3 linked regions of the Oryza sativa Japonica Group genome follow. The protein of the gene in region 1 binds, or shares a complex with, the protein of each later gene. Links are inferred from orthologs where the notes say so. Each region holds a gene or a part of one and is shown in the gene's direction. Other genes may lie near its edges. The genes, in order: eukaryotic translation initiation factor 3 subunit H, eukaryotic translation initiation factor 3 subunit A and eukaryotic translation initiation factor 3 subunit K.

Region 1 (4,274 bases):
TCGGATAGAGAACCAGGAGTTTTCGTGAAGGTGTCGACATTCTAGGATAGAGAGGGCAGAAGAACTCGAACATCGGCCTCTCCTCTATAAATTATTAAGTAAATACCGATCTTGAATTGAGTTCTGATGGATAGGTTGCAATGGCGAAATAACAATAGATAATACTTGCTATCTCTTGCAAGATCATGAGTCTATGATCATGTCATCGTTTATAAATGACGCTAGTTTTATCGAACACGCAAGAAAAAAAGGTTTAAACATAAGATCCCCACTACTGTGGTGCCAAAAAAAAAAGAAAGGAGAAAACCATAAGAATACTCAAGATTAAAGAGGACGCGACCACAGACACCAAAACAACTCTAGCCACCCGCTACCTCTAGCTAAGCCAAGCCCCTAACTCTTGCTATATACTAAAAAAAACCCTTTCTCTGAAATCCAACTACACGCAAGGAGAGGATTCGTTAAACACACAATTTTTTTGTGTATGCTTCCAAAGTAATGAGAAAATTCAGGCCATGCTTGAGCACCTTTGGAATAATAGAATTGACCTTTATCCACCATTTACAAAAATAACTATCCTTTGGTCGTGATGGAAGATCTGCACAACCATAACGGCTAAAGAGGAGATACCAAACTTGTCATGAGAAGACAACCTATCAAAATTTGCTGAATGGCCTTCTCCTCTTGATCACACATCGACCCTATTTGCGAGATTTGATAGTGTGGCATCCTTTTGGACCGAAAATTGATAAGTAGACTTATTAGGAGGTTGATTTCTAATTCAATATAAATTGAAGGATATATAATCGAACTTCACACATTTTATTTTTATAAGTCATTGTATTTTTTAAAACAATATTTCAGATTAATCATACAATTAGTGTTTTTAAAAAATAAATTCCAGTATAAATGAAACCATATAATATAATTAGTTTAGAAAAATCATAAATTCTAGTATAAATGAAATGATACAAGCAAAATATAATAATTAACAAATAACTATTTTTCTCACAATAACTAATTTCCTACACCATATACAACGTTTTCTCTTTTTTTATCATCACAAATTGTTTTCTTCCTTTTTTTTACACCAATTGTTTTTTTTCTAGTAGATGGCAATCCGGTGCTCCTTGTCTGAACTCTCTCAATCTCAACTTCTCAAGTGGCAACTCTTAACCCCCTTCAGGTGTCAAAAAAAAAAAAAAAACCTCTCAAGTCTCAACCCCTTCAATCCCAGCCGCCAATTTTAGGATCCAACGGCTCCTAGATAGCGTACGGCACCACCCGTAAACCGTGAACAAACCCAGCCCGGGACACAATCTGCGCCGCACATCAAAATCGGGCTCGAGTCGACACACGAGCGAATCTGACCTAAACCCTAGCTCGCCTCCTCCTCCTCCTCCTCGCCGCCGCCGCCGCCGCCGTCGCCGTCGAGCACCACCCGAGCAGCCATGGCGAATCGTAAGCGAGACGAAGAACCGCCCTACCCTCTCCCTCTCTTGTGTCCTGCTCCGCTTCCGACTCTGGGGGCGAATGGGTGGTTTGTTTAATTGGTTCGGTTTGGTTTGGTTTGCAGCGGCAGCAGCAGCAGGGCCGTCGGGGGGAGCGAGGTCGTTCCTGCAGGCCGTGTCGACCGTCACCGAGGAGGCGCCGTCGCCGCTCCGCGTCGTGCAGATGGAGGGCCTGGTGATTATTTTTCTTCTCCCCTCCCGTTTTGTCCCTTGGTAGAATTCGAAGCGCGTCCGCTATGCTAGCATGTTTGTTTTGGGCGACTTGCGCTTGGGATGAAGTAAGGATAAGCTCTTGATTTCGGGAGGATCTGTTTGTGTGATGAAACGCCCGCAGTGTGCGATTTCTCTTCACCCAAATGTGTTGTTTAGCTCTTTAGATCGAGGTAATTACATGCTTTGCCGTGTAATTAGATCGGGGTCCTTTGGCTCTGGAACTGGAGGGATTTGGTGAGGTTATTACGAATATAGTTGTCCCTTTTACAATGTTTTCTTCTACACATGATTTGAAAGTGATCGGAAGACTTCCTATCTTAATTAATTACATTGAATGACCTCCTTCGGTCATTCCGGCAAAAAAGAAAGTGATCATCTGCATTGTGATTGTTGAGAAGAAGTGTAGGAGAAACTAGGGAGAGCAGAGGGTGGGAGAAAATTCTTGCTTGATTCGCAGCGCAATAGGAGCCTCCAAGAGTGCTCTAGTGGAGCACAACCATATTGCACGACACACATGTTGCTTTTAGTCATGTACTTATGTTGACCATACTCTACTAGATCAAATTTGCTGCACCTTTACATTGGATGATTTTCTGAGGGCCAGCCGCATTTTTCTTTTGCCCTGTGTTTGAATAGGCATGTTTAGGTATAGTACTCTTATATTTCCACTCACAAATTTCTCTCTCTCTCTCTCTCAATCATGCAGGCTGTCCTGAAGATCATTAAGCACTGTGAGGAGTTTGCACCTGCTCTAGTTACAGGCCAACTGCTTGGTTTGGATGTTGGCAGTGTTCTGGAAGTAACGAACTGTTTTCCTTTCCCAGTGAGTATTTAACATCTATAACATATTTCTTTTAATATGACTTGAGTATTCTTGTGGTTGTTTAGTTTATAGATTAACAGCTACTTTAATATTTGACCACAGATGAGAGAAGATGATGAAGAGGCAGATGCAGATGGTGCAAATTATCAGCTTGAGATGATGAGGTGCTTGAGGGAGGTTAATGTTGACAATAACACTGTTGGATGGTATGATAAGACATTTCATTCAATACCTATTGCTGTTGTTCCATATGATAATTAACCTCTGCCGCGTGCTTCTGCGAGCAGCCTTTGAGTTTACACGTGTTACAACTCTGTTTTTGTAGTCTTTGATCCTCTGCCTTTAATTTATATGTGCATAAATAGTTCATTCGTATTTCTTTGTTCTGACCGTTTGTTCATTATTATATTTTTGGAATGTTGCTAACATCTTTGGCTGTAGTTAATAATGCAGGCAAACTAAATTGAGATATGCTCATTTGTCAACATAGTTTAGTGATGCTGTTGAGTATGTGACACTGAAAAGTGAGAACAAAATAAATGTGGAATTTTGCCTCTATGCATACATGTATAGAAATGTTGTTTGTGTCATGTATTCACCTTGTCTCTGTTTAAAATCAATGGTGCTCTGCTTGTTTGCTTGGACTGATTATTTTATCTAATCCTCTTTTGGAAACACTTCATGAGAGTGTTAAATTTCTTATTGCATGAAGCAACCAAACATCATCAAGCTTCTGGTAGCAACCTTTAGTTATCGTGTATGTGGTTAACATTGACCTTAAAGTGGCTGGTTTTGTGCTTACTCGATGTATTTTCCAGTCTTTTGCAGTTGCATTAACGACATATTAACCTGTGTTGCATTCTAGCTGTTTCATGCCTCGTTCAAAATATTTGCTATATTTTTAACTCCAATAATGACTAATTATCCAACGTATTTCATCTTGAGCTTAAGTGATGTGTCCTATTATTTGTATTATTTATGTTGTGGTTTTAAGTTTTAACCTCCATTCTTGTTGTACTTGTTTAACAGATTTTGCACATACAACTATCATAATCATCCAACAAAGCTGTAGCCTGTTCTGCTTCATGTTTTGACCCTTTTTTTTCCCATGCCTGTGTACAGGTATCAATCTTGCTTGCTTGGATCTTTTCAGACTGTGGAACTGATTGAAACGTTTATGAACTATCAGGTATGCAAAAATAAATAAGGTGCAATTGATCAATCTTTCCATTGCTGTTGGGTTATCCTCTCCCAGCTTTGTTGACCTACTGCAGTAATAGTTTTAGGCCAACTTGCGCATTAATTAGCTCAAAATAGCTAGCACAGCATGAACAAACAAATAGGACAGCAAACAGTGCACCTAATTAGCTTCTCTAATTAGCATGTAACCTATTTTGACACGAATCAAGGTTAAGTCTCTGTATGCATTACAATATCTAACCTGTTTGTACATCCAATGTAGTATACGCAGCAGTACATGCATATCATATATCAAATATCTATGAGTTGGTCATAAGAGTTGCGTAATTTTCTGCGATGTTGCATGCAGAACATAACATTTGCATGTTACAGGAGAATATCCGGAGATGTGTGTGCATCGTTTATGACCCATCTAGGTCAAATCAGGGGGTTCTAGCTCTCAAGGCCTTGAAACTCACAGATTCATTCATGGATCTTTACCGTAACAATGGTTTAACTGGAGAGAAGTACGGTTTCTTTTATGTAAC
Region 2 (2,628 bases), on another chromosome or scaffold:
CATATGATTACTTAAGCTCACAAAAATCACTATTAATCTCTTCTTGTAGAGAGAGATTGAGCTCAGCAAGCAACACCATGCAGGTGACCTGCAGGAGAAGAACAGACTTTCTCGAATGTTGGAGCATAAGGTAAGCAAATACATATCTGTATTCAGACCAGATATTCTTGCACTATTTCATCTTCTTTTTAGTTAATTGAAGGACCAAATGTCCCACTGTAATTAATCCTGTGTTTTTCCGAAACCATGTTTTGCAATTCCAAGCATAACAGTTGAAATACTTAGTATATTATCTGTGCAAAGGTCTGATTAGATACAGATTAATTTAACATATAATATGTGCTATACTTGCTGAGAATCTAATATTGGCATGTCTTCTTTGGCTATGTGTGTGTTCACATGATTTGAGCACTAGACATTTGAATACACCAGGCGATTTGTTCCTGTCAGGGAATAGACAGCTGTCTTCTCTCCTTCGCACATATTTTAAATTGCCCTTTTTGCTTGCAGAACATTTTCCAGGAAAGAATTGTCCAACGTCGTGAAGCTGAGTTTAGTCGTCTTAAGAAAGAGAGGGATGAAAGGACTAGTCAATTGATATCATCAAGGAAGCGTGAAAGGGATACAGTGCGGAAGTTAATGTACTATCTTAACTTAGAAGAGCAGCGCCTCCAAAGGCTCCGTGAGGAAGAGGAAGCTAGAAAACGTGAAGGCAAGAATTCATGACTTTGTGCTTTGAAATACTTGTTCTTATCTTACCTTATTAGATTAGATTAATTTACACTGCCATATATCGTCCAGCTAATTTTGGAATTTCTTGAGAATTAGTGAACATTGCTTGTTGAATTACTGTGACTTTACTGCAGTATGGACCTGTGTTACTTAGGGCCTGTCACTTTGATGCCAAAAAAAACCTTACCAAATTTTGGCATAGCCAAAATTTCGGCAACTTGCCAAAATTTTAGCAGGATTTCTTATATAGTTACCAAAATTTGGCAACAAACTAAATGTAGCCACTTTTCTTGCAACTTTAACAAAATTTGGTAAGATTGAAAATGGCATCAAAGTGAACAAGCCCTTAGACAATGGATAGCTTTAAAACTTAAAATGTTATTTGGCATCAAAGTGTGATTTGCTTGTGCATAATTATCTTGCGGATCTTTTTTTTTTTGCCTGATGCAATGAAATCAAATTCTAGCTTATACATATTGTTGATAATGATTTCACCTTCTCTGCAGAGGAAGAGAGGAGAAAGAGGGAAGAGACTGAGAGGAAGGCTAAGCTGGATGCAATTGCAGCCAAGCAGCTGCAGAGAGAGAGGGAACTAGAAGAGAAGAAGGAAAAACAGAGAATGGAAGCTCTCATGGGAAGAGGAGCTGGAGCTGCTGAGCCTGCACGCACTCCTGATGCTGCTCCGGTTGCACAGCCAGCTCAGCCGGTAGCTGCACCGGCTGCTGCTGCTGCCGCTGCTGCACCAGCTGCTGGTAAGTATGTCCCGAAGTTTAAACGAGGTGGTGATGGTGGCAGTAGTGCTGGCGGCCAGAGACCTGCTGTGGCACCTGAGCAAGACCGTTGGGGTTCACGGGATGATCGCCCACGTCCTGATATGCGTCCGCTCCGCCAAGAGGCACCCCCTGCTCGCGATGCTGCTCCCCCAGCCCGCCAAGATGGTCCTCCAGGCACATGGCGACCTTCAAGATACTCAAGTTCATCATCTTCCTCAACCTGGAGCAGCAGGCGCAACTGAAGCCGTCTGCTTTCAGATGTGGACTGCTAGGGTGAGATTTTTTGCTGTCCAGGGCCATTGCTGAGATAAGCCTGTGAAACATGGTTGAATGTTTGACTGTTTGCGCATCAAATGCTCGTAAAATTTTGGAGTTAGGACCTGCTTCAGGGCAATAGCACCTTTCCTAAGTTATGTCAAATGTTATTTCGTTGTTGCAGTTACTCCATTGCACACTGGATTGCTACTCGTTAAGTTTGTCCAAACTTTGGCGCTGTTAGTAATACTGGAATATTGCCCTTGTCTTTGTGTCTTTGTTCGTTTGGTCGTTGCTACAAGTACATCGCATTTCTTTTGATTATCATCAAACTAATATGACTTGTTGATCTTGATTAACACCAAACTCGGATGAAGCTTTGACGAAGAGTTGGCGGAAACATGAATCATGGTGGTGTACCCCAAGCAGGAACGCACTGCTAGCAGTTGGTAGTTTGATGCACTGGGATTTCGGAGCTCGATTTGCACCGGAAATACAACCTTACCTATCCGCGGTCTCCTACGTTGCTCAAGTAAAGCATTAACGTTCTCCAATGTTGCTCAAGTAAAACATTAACCTTGCATAGAAGTATGAGACTGCCAATCTGTTTGACCTTGCATAGAAGTATGGATGGCAATGAACTGAACTGTACAACATGAAATGCCATCCCTCTACATCATGCCAAAATTCGATGAGTGTTGTCATTTTTGGCATCCCATTGGCTTTGCCCAGTAAATCCATCTGGTAATCAGAAACTCGGAATGGAGTTGGGAGGCAGGATGCGTTCGCTTGTCTCCTTTTATCGCACGTTCTCGATCCAACGGTTCCTGTGAATACCAACATTCTACCACCCCAGTTTCAAATTTTT
Region 3 (4,103 bases), on another chromosome or scaffold:
TGTGTGTGGATCTTGTATCCTTGTGACTTTGCAAGCTTTAATTTTGTGAGGAACAATAGTATTTTAGATTGGTGTGTAAAATATAGAAATAAATAATAGTAGCAACTAAATTTTGGTTTTCAGCTCTTCATCAGATGGTTTGTCATGGGAACAAAATTTCAAACATGAGCAAATTAAGGTCATGTTATTATCAATTGTGATAGATTTAATAATTACGTACTACCTCTGTTTCAGGTTATAAGGCTTTCTAGCATTACCCACATTCATATACTCCCTCCGTCTTATAATATAACAACCTAATACCGGATGTGACACTTTATAGTACAACGAATATGGACATGCTTCCTGTCCATATTCATTATACTATGAAGTGTCCCATCTAGTTATAGGTTTCTATATTATGGATGGAGGGAGTATATGTTAATGAATCTAGGCACGTATATATATGTATTGATTCATTAACATATATTTAAATGCGGGTAATGCTAGAAATTATTATAATATGAAACGGAGGAAGTAGGTGATAGGATCGTAAGGATGTTCATCATCTGTATAATTGTCCCGCATGTAAAAAAGACGAAATATAATTCGTGTCATCACATCAATCGTATGTGATTGCTCGAGCGTATTTACTAGTATCAATATCATGGTTCCTACCAAAAATAAATCGTCGTCATGAACTCATGGTACTTTTAATAGATTGGTATCATGGAATGAATAAAATGGATCCACTTTTTTCTAAAGGCTCCTATTTCAATTTTTTTTTTCAAAAGTGGCAAGGCCTTGTTCTTTTCTCCAACAAAAGTTCGATAAAATTTTTGATACACGCTGCACGCTTTTCAACTGCTAAATGGTGTGTTTCGTACGAAAACTTTCTATATGAAAGTTGCTCTCAAATATCAAATTAATCTATTTTTCATCAAGTTTGTATTGATTAAAACTTAACTAATAACACCTCAATACCATCTCGTTTTACATAAAACACTTAATACTATCTTTATCTTCATCTTTAAAAGAAAAGAACACCACCTTTGTTAGGATTAGCAATTCTAGTTGTTGCTTATGCCACACCTTTGGTTATTAGCAGGGGTGTCCATGAAATAACCAAACCTTGGAAGGGCACATGCGCATTTCTACCAGCATCTTTTTGCATCCGCGGCACACGAAGTAGGAGTATAAGGATAGCTGAGGGACTAAAGCGAAAAAATTCGCACGAACCCGAAAACCCTTTTCTCCATCGCCTCCCCCTCCGCCGCGCCGCCACTTCTCTCCTCTCCTCCTCTCGCCGCTCCCAGGGTTTCGCGCGAGATCTACTCTAGCATTCGGGCGTTAGGGTTCCCCGAGATGGCGAGCGAGCAGGCGGCGGAGAGCTACACGGTGGAGGAGCTCGTCGCCGTGAACCCCTACAACCCCGACATCCTCAACGACCTCGAGGGCTTCGTCAACGATCAGGTAAACCCTAGCCATGGGATACTTGCGGCCCCGTTTGATTTTGTTCGTGTGATTGTTGGAATTTTGCGAAGGATTGGTCCGTGGCTGTGCTGAAAAAGCCTCGCGCCTTCTCATGTTTACATGGTCCGCAAATCGTTAAATTCTCCTATGAAAAAAAAAATCCTGATTCATATGCGCTATGGCGATAGCTAGAAATAGCAGTATTTGTGTATTTTTTTCGGGCAGACTGTAGTGGAGCACATCGTTGTGGAGGAGTTGTGAATTAAGCGGCAGCACTTGTAAAGAGAATGGTTGCTGTTTGGTACATCAATAAATCTTATTGTCAGTCATCTCAATGCTAACTGATGGATTTTCAATTGATAATATCTGTTGTCGTTGGTCATGAAAGTGGCAAGATGGAGATTTCGGTCAGATGACACACATTCATATCAATATTTGACATGCTGTTTGGCTTACGATTTATAAAGAAACAAACTCAACAGACCTTTTTTTTGTGCTCTAGCTATTGTGAGTATGTGCATGCATCTTTTGTAGCTCATCTGTTTTATTCCAGCATATAAAGAAACAAACTCAACAGACCTTTTTTTTTGTGCTCTAGCTATTGTGAGTATGTGCATGCATCTTTTGTAGCTCATCTGTTTTATTCCAGCATAAGTTTTTGGTTCTAATGCTTTCAAATTTACCGACCTTTTCTTTTCATATAGGTTTCCAACCAAACATATAACTTGGATGCAAATCTTAGTCTTCTTCGTCTGTACCAGGTGACAGTCCATCTCTGTACAAACCGCTTTTACCCATATTTTGGCTCGAGTTATATGTTTATTTAATGATGCGTTTCCCTTTGCAGTTCGAACCAGAAAGGTTGAGTGTGCAGATTGTATCTCGCATATTGATTAAGGTCAGAAAAGAACTAATGTTAACATTAATAAATAAACAATGGTTTTTTGTTGATCACTTCCAACTGTTTTGCTCTCTTTATGTTGTTCTATTGACAGGCTCTCATGGCAATGCCAGGCCCGGACTTCAGCCTATGCTTATTCTTAATTCCAGAGCATGTGGTACGGAAACAATTCCCTGCCTCATGTATATGTCGCATCAAAAACTATCTATCTAATAAAATGCTATTGCGGATGCATCTTAAATAGTATCGATACCCAGTGATCTATTTGTTTTGGTGGTGATTGCCAAATTGACCCTGAAATAACATTATCATATATGTATGCCTAGAGATGTGCAATGTATATATATAATAACATGTAGTTGATGGAATAAAATCATATTCACCATGGATTTGGAATTTAAATATTTGTGCAAGGGAACAATCTTTGCCCATTTAGTCTTAGATATGTAGATATAACAGACCCGAATACTTTATACATTGTGTTTATTATAGCTGTACATCTAGTTCTTTTATTTGTTGGGCTCTGTTCTCTTATCATGTGAGTTTTGACCACTGTCCTCTATGCTCTTCTTATTTCAGCAAATGGAGGAACAGTTCAAGACGTTGATAGTTCTCTCTCACTACCTGGAGGTATGTATCTGGCTTGACTATTGTATATATGTTGAACAGTTAGTGGGATAACCACTGTTAACCGCAATCAACGTCTTTGTAGACTGCTAGGTTCCGTCAATTTTGGGATGAGGCGTCGAAGAACCGCAACATATTGGATGTTGTTCCAGGTATGTCTTGTGGAATTGGAGCCATGTTTTGTTCACACGTTGTGAAGTGGTAATTGTTGCAAGCTAGATGATTGTACTGGTATTTCCCCCTCCATTTTCCTGATTGATTTGGCCAATTGGGTGTGACTGATAAACTGTACCTTTTCTGATTACTTTATTTCAGCATTTTCTCGCACAACTCATATTTTAGAAAGTAACTTTGTGACTTATCATCGTTTAGACGTTTACCATGTGTTTATGTGGCATGTTCATGCCCGCGTTGTCATGTAAATGAGTATGTATTAGTATCCTAGATGCCCAGAGATTGGTTACCATATCAAGCAGTCTTGAGCGAACTTCTGTTTGATTCTTTCTACTGACTACTGAGGAATTCTTTTTAATCTAACATGAACTACCTATGGATTATTTTTATGAATGTTTGCTATATTGGACACTTTCTTATGGCAATTGATATGGATTCTTTCCGTTTGACCTAATGGTGAAGTGTTTTTTTTTTTTGAAACACTAGTGAAGGCTTACTTAACTAATCCCTTTACAGGTTTTGAGCAGGCAATCCAATCCTATGCGATACATGTGCTCTCCTTGACATACCAGAAAGTTCCTAGGCCTGTTCTTGCGGAGGTAAATGATGTCATTTTAAATTAATTATTACACGAGTCCTCGAGGGAGCATGAGTTTTCATTCAATCCTTTTTGTTTAAACTTTAGATGACCAAGGATTCGTGGTAATATTAAGTTTCATATTACTAATGCTACAAATATTTGTTACGCCAGAAGTGTCACCATCATCATCCAAATTTTGCTATCATTTAGGTGTTATTGGTTGCCTCGCACATGGATTGTCCCTTGTTGGCTGAAACTCATTACTTTTCTTTTCAGGCCATCAACATTGAGGGTCTTGCATTGGACAAGTTCCTGGAGCACCATATTGCAAACTCCGGTTGGGTGATCGAGAAGGGTGCACGATCTCAG

What was found.
Region 2: eukaryotic translation initiation factor 3 subunit H (region 1) and eukaryotic translation initiation factor 3 subunit A share a complex: the UniProt entries of both Arabidopsis thaliana proteins name them as parts of the eukaryotic translation initiation factor 3 (eIF-3) complex. The link is inferred for Oryza sativa Japonica Group from reciprocal best matches to the Arabidopsis thaliana genes TIF3H1 and EIF3A.
Region 3: eukaryotic translation initiation factor 3 subunit H (region 1) and eukaryotic translation initiation factor 3 subunit K share a complex: the UniProt entries of both Arabidopsis thaliana proteins name them as parts of the eukaryotic translation initiation factor 3 (eIF-3) complex. The link is inferred for Oryza sativa Japonica Group from reciprocal best matches to the Arabidopsis thaliana genes TIF3H1 and EIF3K.

What each region holds. Positions count from the first base shown.
Region 1 is NC_089038.1:18,753,041-18,757,314, reverse strand, and holds the start of eukaryotic translation initiation factor 3 subunit H, read left to right. Parts: upstream 1-1,324; 5' UTR 1,325-1,451; coding exon 1,452-1,461; intron 1,462-1,576; coding exon 1,577-1,686; intron 1,687-2,430; coding exon 2,431-2,547; intron 2,548-2,649; coding exon 2,650-2,753; intron 2,754-3,669; coding exon 3,670-3,736; intron 3,737-4,119; coding exon 4,120-4,253; intron 4,254-4,274. UniProt on the Arabidopsis thaliana protein: Component of the eukaryotic translation initiation factor 3 (eIF-3) complex, which is involved in protein synthesis of a specialized repertoire of mRNAs and, together with other initiation factors, stimulates binding of mRNA and methionyl-tRNAi to the 40S ribosome.
Region 2 is NC_089035.1:1,178,529-1,181,156, reverse strand, and holds the end of eukaryotic translation initiation factor 3 subunit A, read left to right. Parts: intron 1-49; coding exon 50-130; intron 131-510; coding exon 511-712; intron 713-1,238; coding exon 1,239-1,747; 3' UTR 1,748-2,030; downstream 2,031-2,628. UniProt on the Arabidopsis thaliana protein: RNA-binding component of the eukaryotic translation initiation factor 3 (eIF-3) complex, which is involved in protein synthesis of a specialized repertoire of mRNAs and, together with other initiation factors, stimulates binding of mRNA and methionyl-tRNAi to the 40S ribosome.
Region 3 is NC_089037.1:4,350,475-4,354,577, reverse strand, and holds the start of eukaryotic translation initiation factor 3 subunit K, read left to right. Parts: upstream 1-1,210; 5' UTR 1,211-1,344; coding exon 1,345-1,452; intron 1,453-2,156; coding exon 2,157-2,213; intron 2,214-2,299; coding exon 2,300-2,350; intron 2,351-2,447; coding exon 2,448-2,510; intron 2,511-2,932; coding exon 2,933-2,983; intron 2,984-3,065; coding exon 3,066-3,132; intron 3,133-3,670; coding exon 3,671-3,753; intron 3,754-4,010; coding exon 4,011-4,103. UniProt on the Arabidopsis thaliana protein: Component of the eukaryotic translation initiation factor 3 (eIF-3) complex, which is involved in protein synthesis of a specialized repertoire of mRNAs and, together with other initiation factors, stimulates binding of mRNA and methionyl-tRNAi to the 40S ribosome.